2 linked regions of the Yarrowia lipolytica genome follow. The protein of the gene in region 2 purifies or fractionates together with the protein of the main gene of each other region. This does not show direct contact. Links are inferred from orthologs where the notes say so. Each region holds a gene or a part of one and is shown on either strand. Other genes may lie near its edges. The genes, in order: YALI1_D15692g and YALI1_F09996g.

Evidence for each region.
Region 1: the proteins of YALI1_F09996g (region 2) and YALI1_D15692g purify together in Saccharomyces cerevisiae (affinity purification with western blotting; 5 studies listed by BioGRID, with this or other methods). This does not show direct contact. The link is inferred for Yarrowia lipolytica from reciprocal best matches to the Saccharomyces cerevisiae genes VPS13 and SPO71.

Annotation. Positions count from the first base shown.
Region 1 is NC_090773.1:1,564,143-1,571,287, forward strand, and holds YALI1_D15692g (uncharacterized protein), read right to left. Parts: upstream 5,126-7,145; coding exon 764-5,125; downstream 1-763. Other genes in the region: YALI1_D15622g (uncharacterized protein), read left to right, coding at 1-447; YALI1_D15696g (uncharacterized protein), read left to right, coding at 5,483-7,145. UniProt on the Saccharomyces cerevisiae protein: Recruits the lipid transfer protein VPS13 to the prospore membrane during sporulation, thereby aiding prospore membrane formation.
Region 2 is NC_090775.1:997,590-1,002,669, reverse strand, and holds the start of YALI1_F09996g (uncharacterized protein), read right to left. Parts: upstream 3,027-5,080; coding exon 2,985-3,026; intron 2,934-2,984; coding exon 2,841-2,933; intron 2,398-2,840; coding exon 1-2,397. Other genes in the region: YALI1_F09965g (uncharacterized protein), read right to left, coding at 4,076-5,080.

The sequences.
Region 1 (7,145 bases), on a different chromosome or scaffold from region 2:
GAGATCACCGGTCTCAGCAACACATACCTGCATGGTTCTCTGCACTTGATCCTCAAGTCCAAGTTTCTGTTGGTTGAGGGTGTGTCTGGCGACCCCAAGGACGTGGAGCTCACGCCTGAGACGCGAATCGTCTTCAACCAGGACTTCAAGTCCAAGAAGATCCGAATCAACATCAACGGAGTCATCAAGACGGAGGCTAAGGCTGAGGCTGAGGAGACAAAGAAGGCAATCGAGGAGGACCGAAAGTGGTTCTTGCAAGCCACGATTGTTCGTGTCATGAAGGCTCGAAAGACTCTCAAGCATACTGCGCTGGTTCAGGAAACCATTGTGCAGTCCAAGAAGCGGTTCCACCCCAAAATTGGCGAGATCAAAAAGGTGATTGACGATCTGATTGAGAGAGAGTATCTGACCCGAATCGAGCAGGACAAGTACGAATACGCTGCATAAACTGTTTCTGCGTTTGGCACAGTTTTTGATAAACGTGTTGCACGGCATTGTGCACGATAATGTTTCTGGTATTGCGTTGTATGGTGGCACCATGGTAAATGTTAGCATCTGTTCTGTGGTGGTGTCAAGTCATTCAAGTACAAGTAATATCCAATAGATGACTGTAAGAAATGTTTTAAGTTTAATACAAGCGTAAAACAGGTGAAAAACGGTAGAAGATCAGGTACAAAGTCTTCTCTACATGAGTGCCGATACATACAAATCGGTATCTAAGCCGGCTGTATAATCAAAGTATTAGTAATATAATGCTAGTGGCCTAATTAACAATGTTGATATCAGCAAAATCCGGTTCCACCAGCTTTTCGATTTCATGCGACAGTGCCATAACCCACTGTTCCTTCTCCTGTCGAGAACGGGCCACAAAAATGTACCGATGGCCACTGACACCCAGTCGATTGACGGTTCGCAGCTTGGTGGCAGAATTTGTAGTCACGGCCTTCTTTCGAGGGAACCACAAAATGATGCATCGCAGAGTCTCACTCTCGGCAGACTTCCACCCGTCCTTGTACATGCGAGGTACCACCTTGTCCGAGCTGAGATCGCTCATTTCGTCGCGGGTCAGAATATCTGACTCCGCAATGTTGCCGGAGTACACGTAGGCCTCCTTGAGAGGGATGTCTCTGAATCTCTCGTAGTCCACCTTGTCCATAGGGATACCTCCGAGCGTTCGTCTGTAAACGTCATAGAGAATGAGATGTCCATGGCACAGGACCGCGTAGTACAACTTGAATGAGCCATGGGTCCGTGTCTTATGGTACAGCATACCCTTCATGATGATTGAACGGGACCACGAGATACCTGAAACATTGTACAGCGTAGTAGAGGCTGAAGCACGGGCGGTTTCCCACTTGGGAGACGACTCTCCAATAGCTGCATCTAACTTATCGTCAATGTAGAGACGTTTCATGTTGTTTGTTCGGAAGTCGGCAGATACTTGCAGCTGGTTTTGGGCCACCACTTTCCAATAGGCAATGAGATCCCTGAGCTTGTTGACCCACAAGTTTCGACAGTGCGAGTTGTAGGCCTGTAGACGCACGATAAGACCGTTTTCCATCACCAACTCAAACGTCTTGTGTTCGTCGAAAGAATCAACCTCGCCGTCTTCTCCTCCCAGGCCCTGAGACGTGCTTCCATGGAGAATTCGAGAGCCGTCAAAGTCCACATTGTTGTCTTCGTTACCAATACTGTCGTCGATGTCCTCCTGGCGTTTGGTAGCACGAACTTGGACAACTTCAAGGAGGTTGATGAACCCATCAGCCTTGATTATCTGAGCGGCCCGTCTCTGCATGTTGTGCAGAGCAATGGAATCCTTCTTTTGAAACTCCGACTCGGTGATACCTGGTTTGAGCCACTTGATGATAGGAGTGCCCTTCATCTCACCGGTGCCCTCCTCAGACTTGAACGGGGCAATCTCGTACACCCACTCCCGCTGTTCCTCATTGTAGGCTTCCTGGCATTTGAGATCTTCGTCGGGAAGAGGAAGAATGGCATTGCCGGGCTTGGCAAAGAAAAGAAAGTAGTCATGGGTGGAAAAGTACAGGTTCTTGTAAAGAAGCTTACCGAACGAGTTCTTTTTGGAGGAGAAGGCGCCTCCTAGCTGTCCATTCCAAGACTTGAGACGCACCAGATGACCCTCAATGGGGGTGGGCTCCACCAACTCCTCTCCCTTGATTGTGATTTTGTCACCGTAATGTTCTTTGACACGCAACTCCAAGTCGTGCGTTCGGTTGAGGGCCCAGGAACCATGCAACTCCTGCTCTCCAAAGCCCTGGACCCACTCTAATCGGTCGTATCGACGCCATCCAAGACCGACTCGCTTATTATTCACCCAGTCATCAATGGTGCTTTTAAATCGTGGGTTTTCAGCCAGAGCCTTGAGCGCCTTCTCAGTAATGTATTGGTGAGCTCTGGCGGTGAGAACAGCACCTCGGCCTGACTTTCTTTTGGCAGCCATAAGATTTCTAGAAATGTACTCGTCGATAAGTCGGAACTTGCGCCAAGAGACCCGAACAGTTACAACCACAGCCAGATCAGGCACTCGCACATGCATGTCCTTGTCTCGTCGGGCACCCAGAATTTCGGAGAAGAATGCAAACCACCGAATGGACGAGTAGGCTGAGCGAGCCCGCAGAATGTAGATGACAGTCTCACGCTTGCTGGTGTACCACAGGGCGATGGTCTTATCCAGAGATGAATACAGCGACACATTGACATGCTTGCCAAGTGTCAGAAACATTTTGGCGCCAGTCTTACCCTTGGTCACCTTCTCAACAGCCTTGATGGATCGGGACGAATAGAATTGCAGCGAGATCGGGTTCAAGGGGTCACCTGTGCTTCGAGCAACAACAATGTACTCTCTCCATCGTTCCAACATTCGAGTGTCCCCTGTTTCTGTCTCGTTGAAGTCTTTAGGTAGATGCAGAGCTGGACTGGTCTTGACCATAACTAACATCTTCTCGATCCGCACAATCTCTCCGGCGGATTTTTCTCTCAAAAACCTCCAGTTTTTGACCGTAGCGTCTCGAGTACGCGAAGACTTGTCTTTCATCTTACCAGCGACATTCTTTGCCCGGTTCATGAAGTTTTCCTGAAACTGAAGGTAGTAGTCACTCTGAGAAGGTCCCGCATTGGCAGCGGCGATAGTAGCAGGAGTCATGACTTCAGCACCCCGCGGTTCGTTACCATGACGAAGACCGGTATGTGGAACAGTAGGATCTCCGTCTTCTTTGACCTCATCAGGCTCTTGACCTTCAGGTCCCTCTGGAGCTTCAGCTACCTTTGAATCATCAATCACCTTTTCAGTGGCATCGGAGATTTGGCCGTTGTTTCCAAAGTCGTCAGATCCGTCCATCAACTGTACGTTCTCAGGTAGACTATCCTGTTCCTGAAGCTCGGGTAGCTTCTGTTCTTCTTTCCAGCGCAGCTTTTGACCGGGTGTGAGACCACTGGGACCAGAAAACTTCACCTTGGAAGCAGAAGTTAAAGATGAGGGCGCAGGAGCTTGCTGGAACCCCTTTCCCTTGAGCACATCTGCGCGATTGGGAGCCATCAAGATGGATTTGCCCTTGTGGTCTTTCTTCGAAACGTCATAGCCACGGAGTGTAGGCTCATTGTCTGCGTCCAGATCTGAATCAAACTCCTCGGACAAGCTATCAGCATCAGACATGTTTGTCTCGCCTACGGCATCCAATGGTGCCAAACTCGATTCGGCCGAGTGGAATGAATCGATCGTGCCCACCGAACCAACAGCATGGGAGGTATCTGACGTTTGAGACGACGTTTGGGTAAAAAGAGGGACGTCTGAGGCGGAAGAACGACCCTCAGAGCCCAGATTGTAGGGTGCAGTAGATGCACGTTGCAGTTTTGGAGGCATCTCTAGTGGTCCAATGCCATTTTCCTTCTTGATATCGGAGGAGGCTTCGTGGTTGGGCCCACTGTACTTTCTCAAAGAATGCAATGCAGAGCCATGGGGCTGTTGAGACATGACACCCACAGGTTCCCTGTAAGATGTACCGTCCGGATCGTCACTATTGTCGTTCTTCTTTTCGCTAGAGTGGTTCACTGCATTGCCGCTAAAGTCTCTGACCTTGATACCAGGTGGAGCTGTGTGTGGACTAGAAGGATGTTCTCGTTTGCTAGAACCAAATCCAGGAAGTTTCACAATGGGTACAGACATGTCGATTGTTTCGGGTATGCAATCTGGAAGATCCATTTCCTCCTCGTAGTCACTATCTGTCATGATCCCCTTTCCCTTTGAGTTTGATCTTGCTCGTCGTAAAAAAGTTCCTCTTCTTCTGGAAGAAGGAATAGAAGACTGGGCGTTGAGCTGGTCGGAAAACGTACCTGTGCCTCTCCTAGGCAGCTCTGGTGTTGTTCTACCACGAGAAAATCGCGACCCCTGGAAAGACCCGTGTTCCTTGACACTGTGGTTGAATGTCTTTGATTTGTCACGCGAACTAGAGCCCACCTCGTCCCACTTTGTGCGTCCAAAGAAGCTCTTTTTCCTTCTTTGAGCGCTTAGAAACCTATCGGGATCCACGTCAGACTCCTCGGACTCCTCCTCCTCTCTTGCATCCAAGGGCAAATGGGGGTCTGAAGGAGGCTCGAGCTCAGAATCAGTCATGTCTGTCGCACTGGAATCGTACATCTCCATGAGCTCCTCCAACAGATCGTCACCGTTCTTGTTGAGCTTGGAGATAAGCATCTTTTTGGGCTTGGACAGCGCATTCAGGGGGTTTCCAGGGAACACCTTCGAAGTGAGCTTGAAGAAGGGACCTAGAGAAGAACCGGCGTAGTACCTCATGACCTTATCTGGGGGTTGTTCAATCCACTCCTTGGCCAGAGGCCCCACCACCTGCACTCTCGACGACCGGTCCATATGGTCTGGGGTCGAATACTCCATTCGAAACACCGTGTATGAGTTTAGGGGCACCTCATTGTACACCCACTCATTGTACTTTTGGCGCACCGAGTCGAGGTTCTCGTAGTCTGCCAAAAGATCCACCTTGCCCTCCATGGGATGAGCTCGGCGGCCCTTCAGAAACGGCAGGCCCTTGTCGTCGTCAGGCACGATTTGGGGCGCACGTGGTGAAGCAGCCGTTGATCCATCCATTGACATGCGTCTGAGTTAGTAACTAGAGGAACCTGTGGAGTAGGTCTGGGTGTCAGCCACATGATCACGTGACATATGACAGGCTTGCAACTCTCCTTTCCTCGCAAATCTCTCCCTCTTCTCACACTCACTCGTTTCTTGATGTATATGCTGCCCTGTTTCCAACACTGCCTAGGTTTGCTCGGCTCGTACAAGACTAGTTGCGCTGCAAGTTTATGCATGCCAGTCTTAGTAGAGTTCAGCGTGGAACATAACTGAGCGATGCGATGTGCATCAAGACCCAATATCCATCAGAGCACCACATCTAATGCCCCACAAGAGACACATTGAAACCACTCTAGACACTCTTCACAATGCCACACGATGAACGACTCCATTGAAAATCTCAACAACCTGCTTCTTTTGGGCGTCATATTCGTCACAGGACACCCGAAACTGCCCTGTGAAGGCGAATCAGCCCCAGACGGCTGGAACTGGCCCCCATCGACCTGGTTTCGACTCACAAACCTGTCGGTACCCTTGAGGGAGCTGAGATATTTGTACGACACTAAAGCGATTCGAGTGACATGCACTTCGACGCCTCTCAAACAACTTCTATCCCTGAGAATCTATCTGGTGCCAGAAGAACTAAGAGTCAAAACCCAACCCAAGCACCTGTACTCGTTCGCCCTCCAACATATGCACGATAAGCGAAAGTCGGCAATCAGCCGCTTGATACCCTTCTTCTACATACCAGGAAAACAGACACCCATCGTTCCCTTCTATAGAACCAGTCTGGGAGTCATCACAAAGATGGTAACCTCGGAGGAACGGCTCAACAGCTGGCTTAGTCATCTGTGCAATGATCCTGCCAAAAAGACGGCAAGCAGGGACGAGCTGGAAAGTGGCAAAAATCTTCTCATGAGTCTTTACGAGTCTGTTGACTTTGTGCCTCAGTATGACCTTTCTGATCCGCATGTTGATGCGGTATTCAGTGGCCATGTCGACAACCTCAAGTCAGAGCTGTACCCTTACCAGGCAGAAACAGTCTCACAAATGATGCACATGGAGGAAACCCCTAGGACGGCTGTCAGCGCGAGGTATTTGTCGGTAAAGGGTTTCTTTTTCCATCCAGAAGATTTGGTGGCTCGCAAGGAGTTACCCGAAACCACCGGCTTGTCTCGAGGAGGAATTCTGGCGGAAAATATGGGTCTTGGAAAGACGTGCATTTGTTTAGCATTGATATGTGCCACTCGAAAATCGATGGCAACTGTACCTGCTCAGTATAGCGATACTCTGTCTGAAACGATGATGAAGCTACCGGGCAATGGCAAGATTTCTCAGCTCAAAGTGCTGGTGGCTCAAAGGGTGGCTGAACTAGGAGCTCCTTGGGGTCTCTACGCAGACCGTCTCTCTTCTTCGTGTGTTGCAGTGCTCTCTTCCATCAGATGTACTTTTCTCATGCCTGATATTCCCCGTGTGCGAGTGAGTAGTCGTACAGCCGCTTCACGCGAGCAAAAACCGCCTAGGCGTATCCATCTGTCAGCTACTACGCTTCTTGTTTGTCCAGACTCGCTACCGTTCCAGTGGCTCACTGAGACCAAGAAGCACACGGAGAATCTCAAGGTGATCCATGTCAGTTCTGTGGACAAGGCTCCTGATCTGGACACTGTTCTTGACGCCGATTTGGTGATCATTACTAACAGTATCTTGAAGGAGGTGTTCTCCAACCCAGCATGTTCACACATTCAGGACATTAGGTGGAAACGGCTGATTGTAGATGAAGGTCACGTGGTTGGAAATAACAACTCCATTCTGGACATTTGTGGGCAGGAGTGGATTGCTGAGTGTCGATGGGTCGTCTCAGGAACGCCTACAGCCGGATTGACGCGTCTAGACACAACGACTCTGTTCGACCACAAGTCCGATCTTCAGAAACTGGGCCGAATAATGGGTGAGTTTCTCAAGATTGAACCGTGGAGTTCGAGCCCTAGCTCGTGGCAGCAGTCGGTCGTGAAGCCTCTTCTAGCTGGTCGGTACGACGGCT
Region 2 (5,080 bases):
CTTCTCCTCCTTCTCCTTCTCCTTCTCCTCGTTGTCGTTAATATCAGAGTAATACTGAGAATCTGACCGTCTTAGGAAAATATCATGAGAGGGAGTGTCCGAGGGACTGGAGTCCGTGTTAGGGATGGCCAGATCGATGAACTTCATCAGAAGCTTGTACCGAGCATCAGAAAGAGATGCTTGGAACTTGGGGAGCTCTCCGGATACTCTGATCTTAGACAGGTGGGTAGCGTCAGGAACAATCGACACCTCCAGCAGAAACTTGAGGTTGATCCGGTCGATCACGTAATTAGGCGAGTGCTCCACCAGCATATCTCCTACCGCGTCCTTCATGTTCGATCCAATCAACAGCTGCGTGTTGAACAGCTCAATGTTGAACTTGTCGTACATGAGAACCTTGAGCCGGTCCCAGTCGGCCTGCGAGTACTGCTGCGACGCCTTGGATTTGACCTGGTCAATGAGCTTCTTGTCGGCGAGGTCTGACTTGATTTTGATCTGACCAGCGTCGATCAGCAGACACGGCGACTCCTTATTGGTGATGTCCAGAGGCATGACAATCAGAGGAGCAGCCAGATCCAGCTGTACGTCGATCGTCTTATGTTCCTCCAGGGCGTATTCAAGTCCGATACGAGTCTTGGCCTGGAACTCCTCCACAGTCGTACCAGCCACACTCATAAGCGCAGTCAGGGTCTCCTGATGGTTGTCGGCGGGCTTGAAAAACAGAATCACCTGTTCAACCAACTTGACGTTGTAGATGATGTTCAGAGCCTTCATCTTACCGCTCAAACACGAATCAGCATGACCGTCCAGAGGATTGTTCTCGAAAGTGAGGTCCAGAAAGTTGCCTGCAGTGGCTGTACCCATCTGAGCAAGCTGCTTGCCGGAAACAATGCGCGGGAAAGCAGATCCGACTGTGGAATCGTCCATGAACATGTCGCCAACGCCAATGTCACCTGCGAACGAGTCGATTCGCTGTGAAAAGGCTGCAAACAGGTCCGTGAACTCGACCTTGGCAATACCGGACTTGGCGTTACGTTGGTCTCGAGACAACTGAAGAGAACCGGACTTGAGAGACGCGTCAAGACGCATCATGGTAACGTCCTTGGGTACGTCAAACGTATCGTTAGGAGACTTCTCCTCGTCCCACCCAATGGTGTCGTACAACTCCTTCTTCTGGTCGTCTGTGAGCACCACTGGGGGCTTCTCAGCCTTCTCCTTGTCGTCTGCAGTGCCCCACATCCACGAGAACCAGCCCTTCTTCTCATCCGGCTGCGCGGACTTCTCGAACAGCTCTGGCTTCTCCTCCTTGAGCTCCTTGGTCGCTAGAGACCGATAGAACCGCAAATCTTCGTACGACAATTTCATCTCGAGCTTGTCAAATTTAGTAGTGTCCGTCAGGGTACCCTCCAACTTCTGCTTGTACAGCTTGATGTACTCTCGTCGGTCGTCTCGACGGCCCTTGATGTAGTCCCAGCTCCAGACTTTGTTCTTGTCGTGGATCTCCTGCAGCACCGCTTTGATGGCGTACTGGAACCACTCGCGGGGGTTATCCTTGGCATGCTTGGCGTCCTTGGGCTTCAGAGCTCGGTACTTCAGTGTTTTGTAGTACAGCTGAAACTCTGAGGCCGTGAACAGTACGTCTCGGTATTGCAATGAGTCGAAGATGAAACCCAGCTCCTCGAACATGAGCTCAATCTTCGTCTTGGGTGTTGTCTTGGTTATGGCACCCTTGTTCATCGTCACCTTGCCCACTCCAGACACGGGACGCAAAATGTACTGGTGCGAGTCACTGAGAGCGTTGGACTCTGCAGCAATCAGCGCCTTGAAGGCTTTGATGAATTCTTCGTTGTCTAATGGCGCCAGACTAGCGGTGTCCGAGTTCCAGTACATGGACAAAGAACCCAGACGGGCCAACTTGTTGGCGATAGCTCCTCCTTGAATAAACGCGGGCTTCCAGTCTTGGTCGGTACTGATGGCCGAAAGCTCCTCCAGAGTGACTCCCATGGCAAACTGCTGTTTGGTGAACTGGTTCACGTCTTCGTATCGCACGTGAATGTTCTTGATGGTAATCTGCAGGTTGTCGATGATTTTTGTAGTGAGTGACTCGGAAAAGCTCTGGTTACGCTTGATTTCGTCCGAAGACAGCGCGGGGTTGTCTTCGTTCGACTGGTCCATAAGCTCGGCAGCCTCCAGTTTTTCTCGCTTGGCTGCCAGCTCTCGTTTGGCCTCTTCTTCCGGATCAATCTTGTCCTGCTGTCGAGCCACCGCAAGGATGAAGACATTGTCGATTGTGATTTTCACCGGCTTGTTCTTAAGGTTGGACCATGGAATCTGAATGGTTAATTCTCCTAAATGCCCGTGTACGACGTTGACTGGGAGGTGGAATTGGTCGAGGGCCTGGGTTAGTAATGGAAGCGTAGCTCGTGAGTGAACGGTATCTGGTTTGGTTGTGCTAAGCTGGACCACAGCAGCCAAAGCACTGATCTTCAAAACAAAAGAAAATTCCAACGTTTTGGTGCCATTCCAATCAAATCTACCCCTTGGTGGCAACAGGCGGTCTAGACCAGACTGGTGTCCAGAAGTAAACACAGGAAATAGAGTACCAAAGCGGAGCACAAGGGTTCTTTGCAAACATTATCACAAAATAATACTCCATTGATCCACAATGCTTCCATTTCTCTTGACGTGTCCTCCACAAAGTTGTCTGCATCCCTTGGATATGCTGATTGCTCTTGTGAATCCTCGTTGTGTCGTCGTAATTCAATCAAATCCGGGCCGATTGTCGCCATTTTTCTCACAGAATCACATCCCTCCCTTCCAATCTCATTCCTCGTACTCACCTCTTTCTTCAAGGCCAGATCTCTCAGCTTGATATCTCCACTCCATACACTGATGTTCAATTGATTAGGGTCGAAGTTGCGGACGTATGAGCCCTGGGTTAGTCATTTGCTCAGCGGGGCCATGTCGTGCTTGTCAATACTCACCAACACACGATTCAGGATCGTGGCAACCAACGATTCCAGCATTTTTGTGGGGGGTTGTAGTGCCAGGTTTGAACAGTCTCTTGCTGTCGTTGGGTTGCTTCGTTTAGAGTTGTGCTGCACCATACATGCACCCTGCTGTACAACCCAATATGACGCCTCGTGTTCCGGTAGAAGGTGTGAATATGAGTGACAAAGTGGTCTTTGGATGATTTCTGCGCCGACCTTCATTTCCGTCGTTGTTTTATTCTTTGGAATTAATGTCAGTCTGTTGGAAATCTCCCCAAACTGTATCTGAAACTGCACAGCCTCGCACATCAGAGTTATTCACACCTACGAGTTAGGGGGACTGCTACTGGCTGTATATATAATATTCATACAATAACCACGACCCGTATTCTGGTGCCAGATACCAGTACAAGTAATCTTGTCTGAATTCAAGAGACTAGTAAAGCTATTTATAGAGCACCGCAGCCATCGAGAGCCAAGCACAAGCTCCATCACATATCTTGCAAGTACAGTACACTGCAAACAAGTACAAGTACAAGTTCCTATGTACAAGTACAATTCCCTGAAACTTTTCTTCACTTGATATCGCCTGCAGGCAGCTTGAATCACTTACTGGAGAGATATATTATGTCAGTGTTTATGATAGTCCTTTCTATGGTGCCTAAACAAGTGGCATATATCACAGGTCATTCATACGGACATTTCAAAGTGTAAAATGATGACACGAAAAGCTCTTTTTCAAAAGAAACCGGTTCCATACATGAAATTGATTGTCCATTCACCTATACAAATACTTCTACGCTTTACAATTACAAGTACAAGTAGGCTACATTATCCAACCCAAGTTGCATACTGTGCTGTAGGTGCGAGTCTAGAAGTCCAGAAACAGAATGCACTGAACCGCATGTTACCCTTCTACCGCCTCTACAAACAATACGCTTGATGCCGTTCTACCCATCTAAACTCGTGCACAACACCATGTCTATGATATTCTCTATATGGTATACAACCTGAATCCACCACAGTGTACTTGATTCGGAGCTTGGTTAGTGTGCTCCGTGTGTGTAACATCGCTTCATACGACATTATACCGGAGGTTGAGGGAAGTCCCGCTTGGGAGACCCAACCACACTGTTTCCTCGTCGGGGACTTCCGACCACACTGCCTCCTCTCGAGCTGGGAGCGGAGCCATAGCCCTGCATACCAGCAGGCAGTCGATCGGTGGCAGCATCAGTATAACTGTGAGGCACGTCAGGCTCTGGAGTGTCTCGATCACCAAGCAAAGACCGCGAGTCGGGGGTGTTCACAACAGACTTGTCGCCGAACAACGAGTCCATGTCTTCCAAGTTGATTCCCGAGGTCTCCGGGTAGGTGAAGTAGACGAGAACAAACGAAAGACTACAGAAGGCGGCATGCATCAAATACAGTCGCCACTTGATGGTCTCCTGGAGAATGGGGGTCATATATCCCACCAGCCAGTTAAAGGCCCAGTTGGTGGCGGTTGACAGAGAAGCTCCCTTGGCTCGGATGGTAAGAGGCATAATCTCAGGGGGATAGAGCCAGGGAATGGGGCCCCACGAGTATCCAAAAGCAGCGTTGAAGATGACGACGGAAATCACCACCAGAGCCGGTGTATGTGCAAAGTCTAGACGCATCCAGAACGCCACAGACGCCAGGGAAATAGCCATAATTACTGCACCGGACAGAAGAATAGGTCTTCGGCCCCATTTGTCCACGAGGTACCACGGGGGAATAGTGGAACACACGTAGACGATACCGTTGATACCGGTCATGAGAATAGCAGACCGTCCGACCCATCCTGCCTCTTCAAACACCAGAGGAGCGTAGTAAGAGATGACGTTGATACCGTTGAGCTGGGCAAACATCTGCGACGACATGGCAATCAGCACTCGCTTCTTGTACTTCTTCCACATGTCGGTATATGATCGCTCGCCCTCGAGCCGGTGGATCAAAACGGACTGCTTAATCTCCCGATATTCCTGCTTAGCCAGAGGAGAGTCAATGTCTCCTCCTCCATGCAGGTTGGCCAGGACAACCAATCCCTCCTCGTCATGGTCGTTATCCAGCAA